Linked DNA regions of Elephas maximus indicus. The protein of the gene in region 1 interacts with the protein of each later gene in a pairwise test. Links are inferred from orthologs where the notes say so. Each region holds a gene or a part of one and is shown on either strand. Other genes may lie near its edges.

What was found. The genes of interacting proteins can lie anywhere in the genome.
Region 2: the proteins of MS4A12 (region 1) and PLLP interact in binary tests that used the Homo sapiens proteins (3 or more experiments, as listed by UniProt). The two-hybrid records come from large-scale screens. The link is inferred for Elephas maximus indicus from reciprocal best matches to the Homo sapiens genes MS4A12 and PLLP.

The regions. Positions count from the first base shown.
Region 1 is NC_064825.1:123,643,914-123,651,240, reverse strand, and holds the start of MS4A12 (membrane-spanning 4-domains subfamily A member 12), read right to left. Parts: upstream 3,392-7,327; coding exon 3,380-3,391; intron 2,294-3,379; coding exon 2,021-2,293; intron 1-2,020. UniProt on the Homo sapiens protein: May be involved in signal transduction as a component of a multimeric receptor complex.
Region 2 is NC_064839.1:24,216,421-24,224,656, forward strand, and holds the start of PLLP (plasmolipin), read right to left. Parts: upstream 3,173-8,236; 5' UTR 3,040-3,172; coding exon 2,905-3,039; intron 1-2,904. UniProt on the Homo sapiens protein: Main component of the myelin sheath that plays an important role in myelin membrane biogenesis and myelination. Plays an essential function in apical endocytosis. Regulates epithelial development through the regulation of apical endocytosis.

The DNA.
Region 1 (7,327 bases):
ACGCTGGCTGGTCACTCTGCTTGGGAACTCTTCCCTGCTATCTGTGTGACTTGCCCCTCACTTCCTTCAAGTCTTTGCTCAAATGTCATCTTTAAGGAAGTTGGCCAACCATGACCAACCTTAAATTATTATGCCCTCACTGTGTGGCACTTCTTGTCTTTTACACACTTCCTGCAATGGGCGTTTTTTTTTTTAAACACACTTGGCTGTTAACTGAAAGGTCGGCAGTTGGAACCCACCAGCCTCTCCGTGGGAGGACGGGAGGAAGATGTGGCAGTCTGCTTCTGTAAAGATTAACACCTTGCCGTCTAGTCAGTTCTGACTCATAGTGACCCAATAGGACAGAGTAGAACTGCAACATACGGTTTCCAAGGAGTGGCTGGTGGATCCGAACTGCCGATCTTTTGGTTAGCAGCCGTAGCTTGCCATAGTTCTTGACCACTGGCCACCAGGGCTCCCCCTAAAGATTACAGCCTTGGAAATTCTGTGGGGCAGTTCTACTCTGTTCTATAGGGTCACTATGAGTAGGAATTGACTTGATGGCAAGGATTTTTTTTTTTTTTTTAAACACACTATGCCATTTCATTGTTCATTATCTTTATAGTCTGATTTCCCCCACTAGGTTGTAGGCTCCATGAGGACAGAGGTTGTGTCTGTTTTATAGTCTCTGAAATATTCCTTAACACCTGTGTGGAACCGGCTGCACCTGGTGGGTTCGAACTACCCACATTTTGGTTAGCAGCCTTGCTCTTAACCACTGTGCCACCAGGGCTCCATATGGGGTTCTAGTTTGTCTCATTTGCTCAACAGAAGCAGAGGATTCTGCCTATTTTTCTCTATCTGGTAGGCGGAGGATCCAACTGAAGGCCTCTCTTACCCATGTGACTGAGGGGCTGCTTCCCTGTCCAAAGCTTAAACCTGTGCTTATTTTTGCTTTCCTAAAACTGTAACACTTGAGCTAGGTAGTAAGGTCACCAGAAGCGTGCCTGGCACATTATGGACACTCCATGTAATTTCCTGAAGGCTCCAGCTAAGAGGTTAGAAATGCACACAGGGAGAGGCTTAGTGCAATTGTGATAGTGGTACGGATGAGGCACCTGCACCGCAAAGGGACTAACAACATTACCTAGGCTGGTGGAGTTCTTGCCTATAAGTACGGCCCGTTTCACAATGCCTGAAGAGACAAGACGGTGGTTGTTCAATGTGCCCCTTGCAGAAGTGAGGTGTTAGTTGTTGCTGTTGGGTGCCATCCAGTCAATTTCGACTCATGGTGACCTCAGGTGACAGAGTAGAACTGCCCCATAGGGTTTTCTAGGCTGTAATCTTTATAGGAAAACCCTGGTGGCATAGCAGTTAAGTGCTACGGCTGCTAACCAAAGGGTCGGCAGTTCAAATCCACCAGGCACTCCTTGGAAACTCTGTGGGGGCAGTTCTACTCTGTCCTATAGAAGCTGTGGGATGGGTTCGAACCACCAACCTTTCCATTAGCAGCTGAGTACTTAACCATTGTACTACCAGGCCACCAGGGTGGTAGTTAAGTTATAACATCTCCAAAGACACTGGGGATTGAATGGCCATTGATTTTTTTCACACCCAACCTTCCTGGGAGAAGGTCCATTTTCAGTACCTCGCCTTTTAAGGCATCCATGGATGTTCATTTTAATGTGATTTCACTCACATACAAGCACCAGGCTTGTAACCAATCCAGAGATAGGATTGAAGGTGCCCACAGTGTCCTTTGCTGAAGTGAGATCAAGTTAGACATAGTGGTGTTCCCAGTGTTAATATTATGGCATCGTCCTGCTAGGAGGAGTTCTTTGCCACCTGTTACGTTCTTGCCTGAATCTAAAATAAAACGATCTCAGTGTAGAGTATATATGCAAAGTCATCATTTCGACCTGAGCTTTTTAATTTTTGGGCAGTATGTAACGATGATCATAAACTTTCTCCACCTGTAACTTGTAGGTACAATACAACCTTGTAAATGCAGAAGTAAAATTCCAGTAGTACGTAGACTTACCCCTAGTATCTGTGCTTCTTCTTTAAAGTTGATTGCCTCTGTTCCTGTAGCAGAATTTACCATCTGTATATTTGCTTGGTCATGCTGAAAGCTACTGTAGATTCCGGGAGAAGTGACGAAAGGAGGCTGACTGCCTGGAGCTTGATTTACTGGGTTTATTACACCCGGAGGTTGTTGAGACCAAGAAGCCATAGTATTTATTGGTGGATATGGATTGGCTGCAGTTTCACTCATTCTAGTTTGAGTTGTTGGCTTGGGTGATACAAATGTGTCCTAGATTCTATGAAACATACCAAAAATGATACATTTATCAGAAAGGAAACTGAATAAATTCTTGGCATTTTCCAATTCCTGTATATGGAGCCCTGGTGGTGCAGTGGATAAAAGCTATGACTGCTAACCAAAAGGTCGGCAGTTCGAATCCACCAACCTCTCTTTGGAAACCCTATGGGCAGGCAGTTCTACTTTTCCCTATAGGGTCGCTGTAAGTTGGAAAAAAACCAAAAAATGAGTCAGAATCGACTCGACGGCACTGGGTTTGGGGTAAGTTGGAATCAACTCAATGGCAATGGGTATTGAAACATATTTATATATATATATATATATTGACATTACTCAAGTTCATTATATCTGAAGAATATTGGTAAGAGGGAAGGGGCTGTGGCTGTCAGAATAATGTCCTGCAAAGATGTCCATGTTTTAATCCCCAGAACCTGTGAATATGTTAGATTGCATAGCAGAGAGGAATTTAGGTTGCAGACAGAATTAAGGTTCCTAATTAGCTGACCTTAAAATAAGGTGATTATCCTGGATTATTTTGGTGGGCCCAGTATAATCACAAGTTTCCTTAGAAGTAAAAGAGGGAGACAGAAGAAGAGAGTCAGAGAAAGAGAGGTGATAATGGAAGCAGGGTCAGAGAGATACTACGTTGCTGGCTTTGGAGATGGAGGAAGGGGCCATGAGCCAAGGAAAGTTGCCTCTAGAAGCTGGAAAAAGCAAGAAAATGGATTTCTCTCTAGAGTCTCTAGAAGGAAACGCAGCTCTGTCAAAGCTTGACCTTAGTTCAATGAGACTGCAGTTGGGCTTCTGATCTACAGAACTGTCAGCTAATAAATTTGTGTTGTATTAAACCACTACATTTGAGATAACCTGTTACAGCAGCAAGCAGAGAAGTAATAAACAGGGGCCGAGAATACAATTGAATAGCAAGAAAGGCAGCTGAAGGTTTGAAATTTTTTGTCAGTAATTGGAAAAGTAGATAATTCACTTATGGTCTATTAAGTTGATTCTTTTGTTCTTTGAGAATAATATGCTTGAGATTCCCTAGTTCATTTTTGTCCTTCTGGAAGCTTAGAGTACCTTAGGCCCCATGCGGTCAAAAGGAATTTTTGTTGGGAATAAACCAGCACAATTGGATATAGGCAGCAATCACTATTGATTCTTGAAAAAAGTCATGACACTTAAAAAGTTTGTCTTCAGCATCATCAGATTCTTTTTTTTAGTGCTTTTCAAATCATTTTCTTATGCTTCATGGATATCAAGAAAATAGCAGTTATAAACCCCTTCACCCTAGGGGTAACAGTGGTTGGCTGCTATGGCTGCTAGTCAAAAGGTTGGCAGTTTGAACCCACCAGCTGCTCCTTGGAAACCTTATGGGGCAGTTCTACTCTGTTCTACAGGGTACCTATGAGTCAGAATTGATTCGATGGCAATGGGTTTGGTTTTTGAGGTTTTTTTTTTTCACCCTAGGTATGAAGTATGAATAGCATGCTAGTACATTGTACCACTGGCGTTTTAATAGGGACACTTATTTCGGACCAGGGGTATTTACCTTGTTTCTGCTATCAGACTTTGTACTCATGGTGTTGTTGTTGTTATTGAGTTGATTCTGATTATAGCAACCTCATGTGACAGAGTAGACCTGCCCCGCAGGGTTTCCTAGGCTGTAATCTTTATGGGAACGGATCGCTAGGTCTTTCTGCTGCGGAGACGGAGCCACTGGATGGGTTTCAACCACTAGCCTTCCAGTTAACAGCCAAGTGCTTAACTGCTGTGCCACCAGGGCTCCTCATGTAGTCATAGAATCGTGAAATCTGAGGGTGGGAAAGAGCTCTTTCAATCCTTCTGTCCTGTTTCCCCTTGGTTTACAGAGACATTGAAGCTCAGGTAGCTTAAATGACTTGCTCAAGGTTACATAACAAATGTGTGGCAAAGTCAGGACTAGAACATTGGGCTTTTGACTGCTGGTCCAGAGCTCCCCAATTCCAGCCGTAGTGCTTCACTCTGGACGCTTGCAGAGCTTGTCTTCCAGGCCAGCCTTGGTGAAAGGCTAATGACTATGCACTTACTACCCAACAGCAAACTGCAGCCTTCCGACCCTGTGGAGAGAACTTCATAATCCAGGCTGACCTCTTAGTGATTAAATAACTTAAATTGGAAAGGTCTCTCCTCAACTAGTCTCTGGTGAGCTGTCTAGAGAGTTAACATTTATTTAACACTTCCTGTATGTACAGTATGGAAACCCTGGTGGCATAGTGGTTAAGAGCCATGGCTGCTAACCAAAAGGTTGGCAGTTCGAATCCACCATGTGCTCCTTGGAAACTCTGTGGGGTAGTTCTGTTCTGTCCTATAGGGTCATTATGAGTCAGGATCGACTTGACGGCAATAAGTATAGGTACAGGTATGTACAGGAGGGGACATATAGTGTTGTGGTTAGGAGCATGAACTCTGAATTGGAATCCTGGCTCTTTGGCAAGTTTCTTAACCTCTCTTTGCCTTGGTTTCTTATCTGTAAAATGGGAATAATGAGAGTATCTCCCTTATAGAGTCACTTTGAGTGTTAAAGAGTTATTCCATGTAAAGTTCTTAGAATTGTGCCTGCCACATAGTAAACACTACTTGGGTTGGTTATTATTATTATCGCTGTGTTAAGTACATGAGATACAATATCTCTCTTAGTCTTTACAAAACCTCATGAGGTAGGTACTATTATTATCCCCATTTCACAGATGAAAGAATTGAATCTAGAACCTACACTCATAACCACTTCTCTAAGCTGCCCAGATGCTAGCTACATCTGAAAAAGGTTGAAAACTCAACAGAAAGAGGGGGAGGGCACATAATTTTGAAACCTCTGATTTCAAAGGGATGAGTTTTTAAAAAGCGGAAACAAAATTCAATCCAAAAAAATGTTATTTTAAATAAGTTAAAATCAACAGCCCCATGACTATGACACCTGATGACTCTCAAACAGTGTTCAAATACAGGAGGTTTTACATCCCACGGACCTGGTTTCTGCAGCCATATATGCTCAAACTCTGTTTTCTAATCCCCAGTCTGCTGCTTCACTAACTCTGGGGCTCTGAGCAAGTCACTGACCTTCTCTAAATCCCTGTTAGTCCCTGTGTCTCAACTGTAAAATGAGACTAATGATGCCACTCTAAGGGGTTGGTATGACGATCAAGTGATCATAATTCCTATAAAGCCTTTGGAAAGTGCCTGACATATGGCAAGACCATAATAAAAGGTAGCTATTATTTTGATATATAGCTTTCTCTCTTGCTGTAAATACAGATGTGGCCATGTGAAAAGTTTATAACAGGGATTATGAAAAGAGCAAAGAGACAAGAGAGAGGAGCTCGAGGTGCAGGAATTAGCCAGAACAAGAATTTTCTTGAGTTTTTTAAGGAAGTGCACAATTCAATGATCGTCTCCTGTTTCTGCCCGCATGACTTCATTACTTTCTTTACTATTAATCTTTGTAATTTTTGTCTCATGGAGAAATTTGAAATGAAAAACCCAGGATTTTTCATTCATTCATCAGTGGTTTCTGATTTCATCTCAACTCTTTAGTTTCTGGGCTAACACCTCTGAACTTCACAGATTATTAATACTCCTATTAATACTCCAACTGCTAATAATCAATTCCACAGTATCACCCAGTATGCACACAAGTATACAGGTTTATGTTGTTGTGTGCCATTGAGTTGATTCTGACTCATAGTGATCCTATAGGACAGAGTGGATTATGGCTAATCTCAGAATGCATTTTTACTCATACAAATTCTGGTGTACAAAAATAGATTACAGAGCTGAGCCAGTCCTGGTCTTTTTAATTTATTTCAAAATGAATTGATGTGTGAACAGCTTTGCTGGTTATGTTGTTTGGCACAGAGATGGGAAAATATTCAGGAAAGTAGCTAAGTGATTATCCAATGAGGGTAATTCCAGAAATAATACTAGATAAGGGAACCCAACGAATAGATTCTCTTCATAGATACCACCTACTGATTTAGTACAATCTACCTCTTGACCATTGGTAAAATATTTACCATCAGTTGTCTTTTCTGTAAAAATTAGAGCAACTACAATTATTTTTAAGCACAAAGAACCCATCAAAAAGAAGTAGGTCTGGTGAGAGCAAAAGGACACGACCATGGAAATAAGACAAGAGCTCACCAATTTGCTGTTTGGTTAGATAATTACAAATAAAAATGGGAAAAAATTATTTTTTTCTACTTTCTGTTTAACTTCTACATTAATCTCACTTTTAGCACTATAGGATGAAGACAACTGCTAATAATCAATTCCACAGTATCACCCAGTACGTACACAAGTATACAGGTTTATGTTGTTGTGTGCCATTGAGTTGATTCTGACTCATAGTGATCCTATAGGACAGAGTAGAACTGCCCCATAGGGTTTCCAAGGCTGTAAATCTTTGCAAAAGCGGACTGTCACATCTTTCTCTCATGGAGTGGCTGGTGGGTTTTTGAACTGCCGACCTTTTGATTAGCAGCTGAGCTGCTGAACCACTGTGCCACCAGTGCTCCTATAGCGTTCCACAAATAAAAATGATGACCTAGTGAAACTGTGATTTCTACCATCTTTTGATTCGGAAAAAACAAACCAAACCGATTGCCGTCAAGCCGATTTAGACTCATAGTGACCCTATAGAACAGAGTAGAACTGCCCCACAGGGTTTCCAAGGAGTTGCTGGCAGATTTGAACTGTCAACCTTTTGGTTAGCTGTAGTAGCTCCTTAACCACTGTGCCACCGGGGATCCTTAAATATAATGTATTACAAAACCAAGTGCTACAGTATTTCTACTGTGCTGTGGTAATTATGTGGTAGCCACATTATCATCAGATGCTCACAGTGGGGGATTGCTGATTGATATTCATGGAATGACATGCATTTGAACTTACTACATCACCTTTCTTAGCATTAGCTTTTGATATTTCTTTGTAGTGCCCTTTGCCTATTTTTATAGCTGAATGACTTTCATTCCTTGCTTATATTTCACT
Region 2 (8,236 bases), on another chromosome or scaffold:
GCACCTCCCAAACTGACCAAGAGCTCCTGGAGAACAGGCACTGGGCCTGGGGTCCCCATCACCCCTTGACAGCACAGGGCCCTGTGGCCCTTGGGAGCATAGCTGAGGGTGGTAATTAAAAGCATGGGCCATAAAAGGCAGACCATTGAGCTTAAATTCCAGCTTTACCACTCTCAGACTGTGAGATCTTGGGCAAGTAGCTGGCCTCTGTGCCTCAGTTTCCTCACCTGTAAAATGGGGGCAATATAAAGCCCTTGGCAAAAGGCCTGGACCCCAGTGCTCACCTGACTGGTAGGAGCTGCTGTTACTATTATGGCTTCCTAGTGGATGGTGGTGCTTGTTGGGTGCACCCTGTCTCAGATCCAGCAGACTGGTCCATTGCCAGAGAAATGACTCAGGAAGCAGCTTCTCCACCAAGAAGGTTGGCAAAGGCTCTAGAAGGTATGAGTCTTCAGAAGTCTGATCCGAGTCCCTCACCTCTCAGGCACCAAAGCACTGCCAGGGAGCGGGGTAGGCAAAGGAAGCACACTCCCTCACACCCAGTCTCTGGGGGTCCGAAGACACAAATGCCAAGGTGCACCAAAGGACCCCTGACAAGTCTTACATTCTACCTAGACCTCAATGTCCGCATCTTTTCAGTGGGGCCCAGATGCTCAGGGCTGGGCTGCTGAGCCTGCAGGAGACCCCCAAATCAGGAACACATGCTTGCTCCAAAGGAAGCTACCAAGGTCTTTGCAGGCTGTAGTGTCAGGAAAAAAATTAAAAAGTCCTGTTGCCATCAATTCAATTCTGATTCATAGCAACCCTACAAGACAGAGTAGAACTACCCCATAGGGTTTCCAAGGCTGTAATCTTTACAGAAGCAGACATCTTTCTCCTGTGGAGCTGCTGGTGAGTTCAAACCTCTGACCTTTTGGTTAGCAGCAGAGTGCTTAACCACTGTGCCACCAGGGCTCCACCTAAGTCTGCCAATAAAACCAAATCCCTATTTCTCACAGATGTACTCCAGGGCCTCGCTCTCAGCTTCTGGCTACACCAGAAACAAGTGCTTCAACTCCAACATCACCAACCTGTTTACTACACCCCACTCCCCTTTAACTTTCCCACCTCCAAGCCCTGGCTCACACTGTGCCCCACCCTTGGAATGCCCTTCCCTCCTCTGCCCCAGATTTCGCTATCAGTGAAGCACCAGCTCAAAAGCCATCTCCTTCATGAAGCACCCCTGGACTCAGAATTTCTCTCTCTTCTTCCTCTGCCCATATATGCTGGGCTGTCCCCTCAAACCAGGGCTCAGGAAGGCAGCACCTGACACTTTCCCACTGTGCCCCACGGACCAGCCCACAGCCTAGCACACACAGTGCTCAGCGGCTACCCCTACCAAAAAAACCCAGACCAAACCCTTTGCCATCAAGTCGATTCTGACGCATAGTGACCCTAAAGGTCTGAGTAGAACTGCCCATTGGGTTTCCAAGGAGCGCCTAGTGGATTCGAACTGCCAACCTTTTGGTTAGCAGCTGTACTCTTAACCACTACCCACCAGGGTTTCCCTCTCCCCACCAGTAAGAAGACTTATATTAGTCCCGGAACTGGGCCTCCCTGCAACCCTCTCCAAGGCAGAGAATCTCAACAAAAAAATTACTCTGGTAGACGAATTTAAAATGTAGATTTCCGAGCAGCTCTCGCTGATATTCAAATGCCAATTCCACGTGTTTTCCAGACGTAGGATACAAGAATCTGCATTTAAACAAACCTCTCAGGGAGAGTCTGTGGCTGGAGTGGGGAGGGGCCACAGGGATTTCAGAAATTCAGACAGCACAGACCCAGAGGGAGGTGGGCAACCTGGGGGGTGGGGTAGATTCCAGCGGCACCAAGCAAGCGTATCCCCTCCCCATCCTGGCGGAGGTTGGCAGCCTTGATGGAGGATCCAGCAGCAAGGGAGCAGCGGGAAAGGCCCTTTCGGTGGACTGTAGAGGAAGACAGACCCTAGCCTACCTCCATTTGCATCCTAGCCCTCTGAAAATGGCCCAGGCTCTCAGCTGCCGGGGACGCCTCCCACGGCGGCAATCACCCAGCTTCCTGACTCCCCCACACAAAAGGGGTTGTGGGAAGAAAGCTAACACCCCCTGGCGTGAAACTAATGGGGGAAGGTAGAGAGAATGTCCGCATCTGTCCGCCTCTTCTAGGGTCTACGTAGGGGCCTAAGAGGTAAAGCTGTCGTGCGTCTGGCTTCCCACAAACGTGCCCCCGCTCCCGCCCCAAGCGCGGTATCTCGGCTCCATGGGGCCAGCCAAACTGGCTGAAACTCGCAGGTCATCCAGTAGAAGCCAGAAGAACCCGGCCACCCCGAGGGCGCCCACAAGACCGTGCCTAAGCGTATGTATTAGGGAAATGGATGTGCCCTCTGGATTAGGCGGGGATGGGGGTTGCGGGGGGGGGGGTGGGCAGCCACGCGGAGCCGCTGGGAGCTCAGCAGGTGGAGCGAGAGTGGACTTTGCTTCGAGCTGGGTCCTCTGGAGGGCTGGATGGGGGGCATTGTCCTGGCAGAATGTGTGCGTGTCTTGCGCAGTGACTGTAACGTGAGCGTTTGTTGAGAGTGCGGCCGCCTGTGACCACCATGGTGATGGTGAGTGGCGGGGGAAAGATGAAGGGTTGGAAAGTGGGGCTGTCTCCGAAGTGCACGGTGCGTGCGCTCGCTGGGATTGCAGCGGGGCATCTCTGGTGAGAGGGTGCCTGGAGGCTTTGGGGACGTCGGTTCTAGAGGCAACCCTGGGGTAGGCAGGGCGCGTCGGTGCGCATGTGAGCCTCTACGAGGACGCGCAGCCCCTGAGCTCCCGACCGTTAGTCCCCTCTTAGCCCGGACGGGACCCCCCGGCCCCGGCCCCGCGGCCCCGCACGCGTCCTCACCAGCTGCAGCACCATGAGCGCACCGATGCTGGAGCGCACGAAGCCCAGGTCTGGGCGCAGCGCCGAGGAGGAGGCGCCGGCGCCCTGCGCGGGGCTGCTCGTTCGCGTGCTCACTTTAGACGGGAACTCGGCCATGGCGGCTCCGTTCGCCTAGCTAGGTTGCTCCAGCCGCCGCTCCTCCCGCCGTGGGTGCCCGCTCCGAGCCGCTCCTCCCCTGGGCCTCCGGCTCCCGCTGCTGCTCCCAGCTCTGCGCGCAACTTCGGGGCGGGGAGCTGGGAGCCGCCAGGTGCAGCCCGCAGTCCGGGCCCCGCCCCTCCGGCGACACCCGTCCCTTTAACCCTTTGCTCGCCGCCGGCAACCACTTTATAGACAGGGAAACTGAGGCCGCGGTCAGCGGGACGGCTTCTCCAGAGGAGCCGCACGGTTCTTCTCCCGGGAAAGCTGCCTCCTGGGAATTTATCCTTACTTGTCGCGTCTTTCGCCGCTCCTCCGGGCCCTCCTGGCCCGCAACTTCGATGTATCGGGCTAAACTAGTCGCGGCCCGCAGAGCGCCCTCGGACACACCCCTGCGCCTTTCTGGAACGCTCTCTCTCGGTAAAATGGGATCAGCATCCCTGTCCAGCTACTCCTACAGAGTTCCTGGGGAGACGGAGCTCCGGGGAGAAGGAGTCTGCATAAAATGTGGGCGTGCAGAGGGAGGGGTCTTTTGTGACTTGATGTGGTTTTTCGCTTCTGAACATACTGAACAGTAACTTTGAAGACGGGAGACTCTGTTTTCTCCCCTGTAAAATAGGTATATGAAGGGACCTAACCTCACAAAGCTGATGGGACGAATAAATGAGATATTCCGTGGAAAGTTCCCAGGACAGGAAGCCAGCACAACTTGTACAAGACAAGGTGTTGGAAGCTCCATAAGAAAGGGGGACAGCCTGAAGTGAGGGTCCTCACTACTACCTGGATGTCCTTCCTGACACACTGGCTCTAGTCCCAACTCTGGCGCTCATGTTCTGGGTGAACTTAAACACACCCGGCTCCCATCTTCTCAGCTTCAAGGAAGGGCCCAGTACCCCATCCTGCTAATCTCATAAAAAAAAGGAGTCAAAAAAAAAAAAAAAAAAAACCCAAGCCCTTTGCTGACAAGTCCATTCCAACTCACAGCAACCCTATATGACACAGTAGAACCGCCCGGTAGGGTTTCCAAGGAGCGCCTGAATTCCAACCGCCGACCTTTTGGTTTGCAGCCTAGTACTTAACCACTAGACACCAGGGTTTCCATAGACACATCCAGCCTCCCTGAGGGACCGAATTACTGGGCTGAGGGCTGTGGGGGCCATGGTCCAGGGGAACATCTGGGTCTGCTGACATAATGTAGCTTATAAAGAAAATGTTCTGCGTTCTACTTTGGTGAGTAGCATCTGGGTCTTAAAAGCTTATGAGCGCCCATCTAAGTTACTCCACTGGTCTCACCCATCTGGAGCAATGGAGAATGAAGAAAACTAAAAACATAAAGGAAAGATTAGTCCAGAGGATTAATGGACTAGAACTACCACAGCCTCTACCGGTCTGAGTCCAGTACAACTAGATGGTACCCAGCTACCACCACCAACTGCTCTGACAGGGATCACAATAGAGGGTCCCACATACAGCTGGAGAAAAATGTAGAACAAAATTCTAACTCACAAAAAAAGACCAGACTTCCTGACCTGACAGACTGGAGAAACCCCAAGAGTGTGGCCCCCGGACATGCTTTTACCTCATTAATGAAGTCACTCCTGAGGTTCACCTTTCAGCCAAAGATTAAACAGGCCCATAAAACAAAACGAGACTAATGGGGCACACCAGCCCAGGGGCAAGGACTAGAAGGCAGGAGGGGACAGGAAAGCTAGTAATGGGCAACCCAAGGTCAAGAAGGGAGAGTTGTCAGGTTGGTAACTGATGTCACAAAACAATATGTGTACTGTTTAATGAGAAGCTTCATCTAAAGTATGAAAATAATAAAACAGATGAAAAAAAAAAGTTCCCAGGACAGGCCCTGGCACCTGTAGGGGGCACACTCAGAGGGTGGAAGGTGATATTGGGGGTTTCATTGCTCCACCTGCACCCTAAAACTCCTATGCATGGACTGATGGACACACGCATACTGACCCATTGCTCATAGCAGCTTGCACAGATAATTCGTTTATTCATCAACCAGTGTTTGCTGAGCACTTACTATGTCAGGTCCTATTCCGGGCCCTGGAGATACAGCAGGGAACGAGCCAGAAAGCCCTCTCGAATCCCACTTTCTTTCTAGTGTGTGTGTGGGGGGGGGAGGGTTGTCAGGTAGCAAACCAGGGAGAAAAAAAAATTTCTGATAGTGATAAATGCTATGACAAATTGAACAGAAATGTGACAGAGTGACCTGGAGGCAATTTTTAGGTAGACAGTCAAGAAAGACCTCTGAGAGAAGAAGACATTTATACAGAAGCCTGAATCATTAGTAGGGGCCAGTCTTCAATAGGGCTGGGAGGAAAATACTTAGCATGTACCAAAGCCCTGAGGCTAGACCAGGATAGTCAACTCGAGGAATAGAAAGTAAGTCCCTGCTCAGTGTGGGGTAAAATGAGTGAGGAAGAGATCAGACACGGGGCAGGGGCCAGGCCACACAGGGTTGTTTAAGATTATTATATTAGTGTCATGGGCATCCTGGGCGGCATAAATGGTTAAATGCTAGGCTAGGTTAGTGGTGAGAATCCACCCAGAGGCATCTTGGAAGAAAGGCCTGGTGATCTACTTCCAAAAAATCAGCCACTGAAAACTTCATGGAGTACGGGTGTATCCTGATGCATGTGGGGTCACCATGAGTCGGAACTGACTTGGTGACCAGTTTTTTTTTTTTTTTGGTTTCCTGAGGCTGCTGTAATAACTTACGACAAATTTGGTGGCTTAAAACAACACACATTTATTGTCTCACGGTTCTGGAGGCTGGAAGTCCGAAATCAGTTTCACTGAGCCGACACCATGGTCTCAGTGGGGCCGTGCTTCCTCCTGAGGCTCTAGGGGAGAATGCTTCTTGCCTCTTCCTGCTTCTGGTGGCTGCCAACACTCCTTGGTTTGTGGCCACGTCATTCAAATATCTGCCTTTACGGTCACATGGCCTCCTCCTCTTCTGTGTGTATCAAATCTCCCTTTGCCTCCCTCTTACAAGAAAACTTGCTTTTGGATTTACGGCACACCCAGAAAATACAGGAGAATCTTCCAGTGCCAAAATCCTTAATTTAATCACATCTGCAAAGCCCCTTTTTCTTATGAGGTAAAATGTAGAGATTACAGAGATTAGGATCTGATATCTTCAAGTGGCCATTAATCAGCCACTACAATGCTGGAGAAGGAGCCCGGGGAGCGCAATGATTAAGCCCTTAGCTGCTAACCAAAGGTTGGTGGTTCTAACCTACCATTAGCTATGGGGGAAAAAAAGACTTGGTGATCTGCACCCTGAAAGATTACAACCTAGGAAACCCTATGGGGCAGTTCTACTCTGGCACATTGGGTCACTAAGAGGCAACCGCTAGCACTGCACTACTGGAGGGGCTTAACGTTTTGTTTTAAGGCCTGGAGAGTTTTGGAGCCCTGGTGACACGGTGGGTTAGGAGCTCAGCTGCTATGCTTTATCCACTCAGCTGAATGTTCAGCCCCTTCCTCCCATGCACCTGGACACCCTTACCAATCCATTGCCTGCCCCCCTACCCCAGACACCCACACACATATATAGTAGGTGCTCTAGAAATAAGGAGTGCAACTTGGTAACTACAAAGTTGTTACCCAGAGGCCAACCTCTGCTGACTGAGTCCAAGGGCAGAGCAAACCCCTGGTGGGCCCTTGATATTATTATGACACAGGAAACAATAAGTTGACTGTTTCTGAGGCACATTCTAAAACAGTGGGATGTTTTTGACTCTTTTTTTGTTTTGTTTTTCTTTGGCTCTGGTTTGGATTTTGTTTTTTTGGTTAATCCCACTTTCATTCCTTTCAAATGGCAGAAAGCAAGACTGAATCACTGCACTGTTTTCCACTTCAACATTTTCTTCCAAACCAACTTTACTCGCCCCCGGTCAGAAAAAGTGGGAAGGAGCCAGGAACCTGTCCCAGGCTGGAGCCAGCCTCCCACCCAGAATCTTCACTGGTACCATGGAAGGTCCTGGATTCCTGGGGGAGGAGGCAGAATGCCAAGGATGAGGAGACCTGTCTACTCCCAGGGATGGTCCCCTCCGCGGGGTCTCAGTAGACCATGCCCACAAAGTTCACCTGCAGCACGTGTCTGGTCTCAGTTCTTGTCAATTCTGCAGTCCCTACTCTGTGTTTGCTAAGCCCTTACTGTGTGCTGGGCCTGCCTCCTATGGGTTGGGGGCAGGGGTGGGGCATGCTGGAGAGAGTGGGAATTCAGGCACTGAGCAAATGTTTAGTGAACACCTCAGCTGCACCAGGCACGGGAGACAGAGCCCCGAACAGTAGACAGGGCCCCACCCTCAGGGAGCTGATAGTTGATTGGGGAGACAGACATTCCAGATATGTTGTTGTTGTTGTTAGGTGCCATCTCATAGCGGTTCCGACTCACAGTGACCCTATGCACAACAGAATGAAACACTGCCCGGTGCTGAGCCATCCTTACAGTCGCTGTTATGCTTGAACTCATGGTTGCAGCCACTGTGTCAGGCCACCTCTTTGAGGCTCTTCCCCTTTTCCGCTGACCCTGTACTCTGCCAAGCATGATGTCCTTCTCCAGGGATTGATCTCTCCTGACAACATGTCCAAAGTATGTAAGATGCAGTCTCGCCATCCTCGATTCTAAGGAGCATTCTGGTTGTACTTCTTCCAAGACAGATTTGTTCCTTCTTTTGGCAGTCCATGGGTATATTCAATATTCTTCGCCAACACCACAATTCAAAGGTGTCAATTCTTCTTCTGTCTTCTTTATTCATTGTCCAGCTTTCATATGGATATGATGCGATTGAAAATACCATGGCTTGTGTCAGGCGCACCTTAGTCTTCAAGGTGACATCTTTGCTCTTCAACATTTTAAAGAGGTCCTTTGCAGCAGATTTACCCAACGCAATGCGTCTTTTGATTTTTTGACTGCTGCTTCCATGGTTGTTGATTGTGGATCCAGGTAAAATTAAATCCTTGATAACTTCGATTTTTTCTCTGTTTATCATGATGTTGCTCATTGGTCCAGTTGTGAGGAATTTTGTTTTCTTTATGTTGAGGCGCAATCCATACTGAAGGCTGTGGCCTTTGATCTTCATTAGTAAGTGCTTCAAGTCCTCTTCACCTTCAGCAAGCAAGGTTGTGTCAT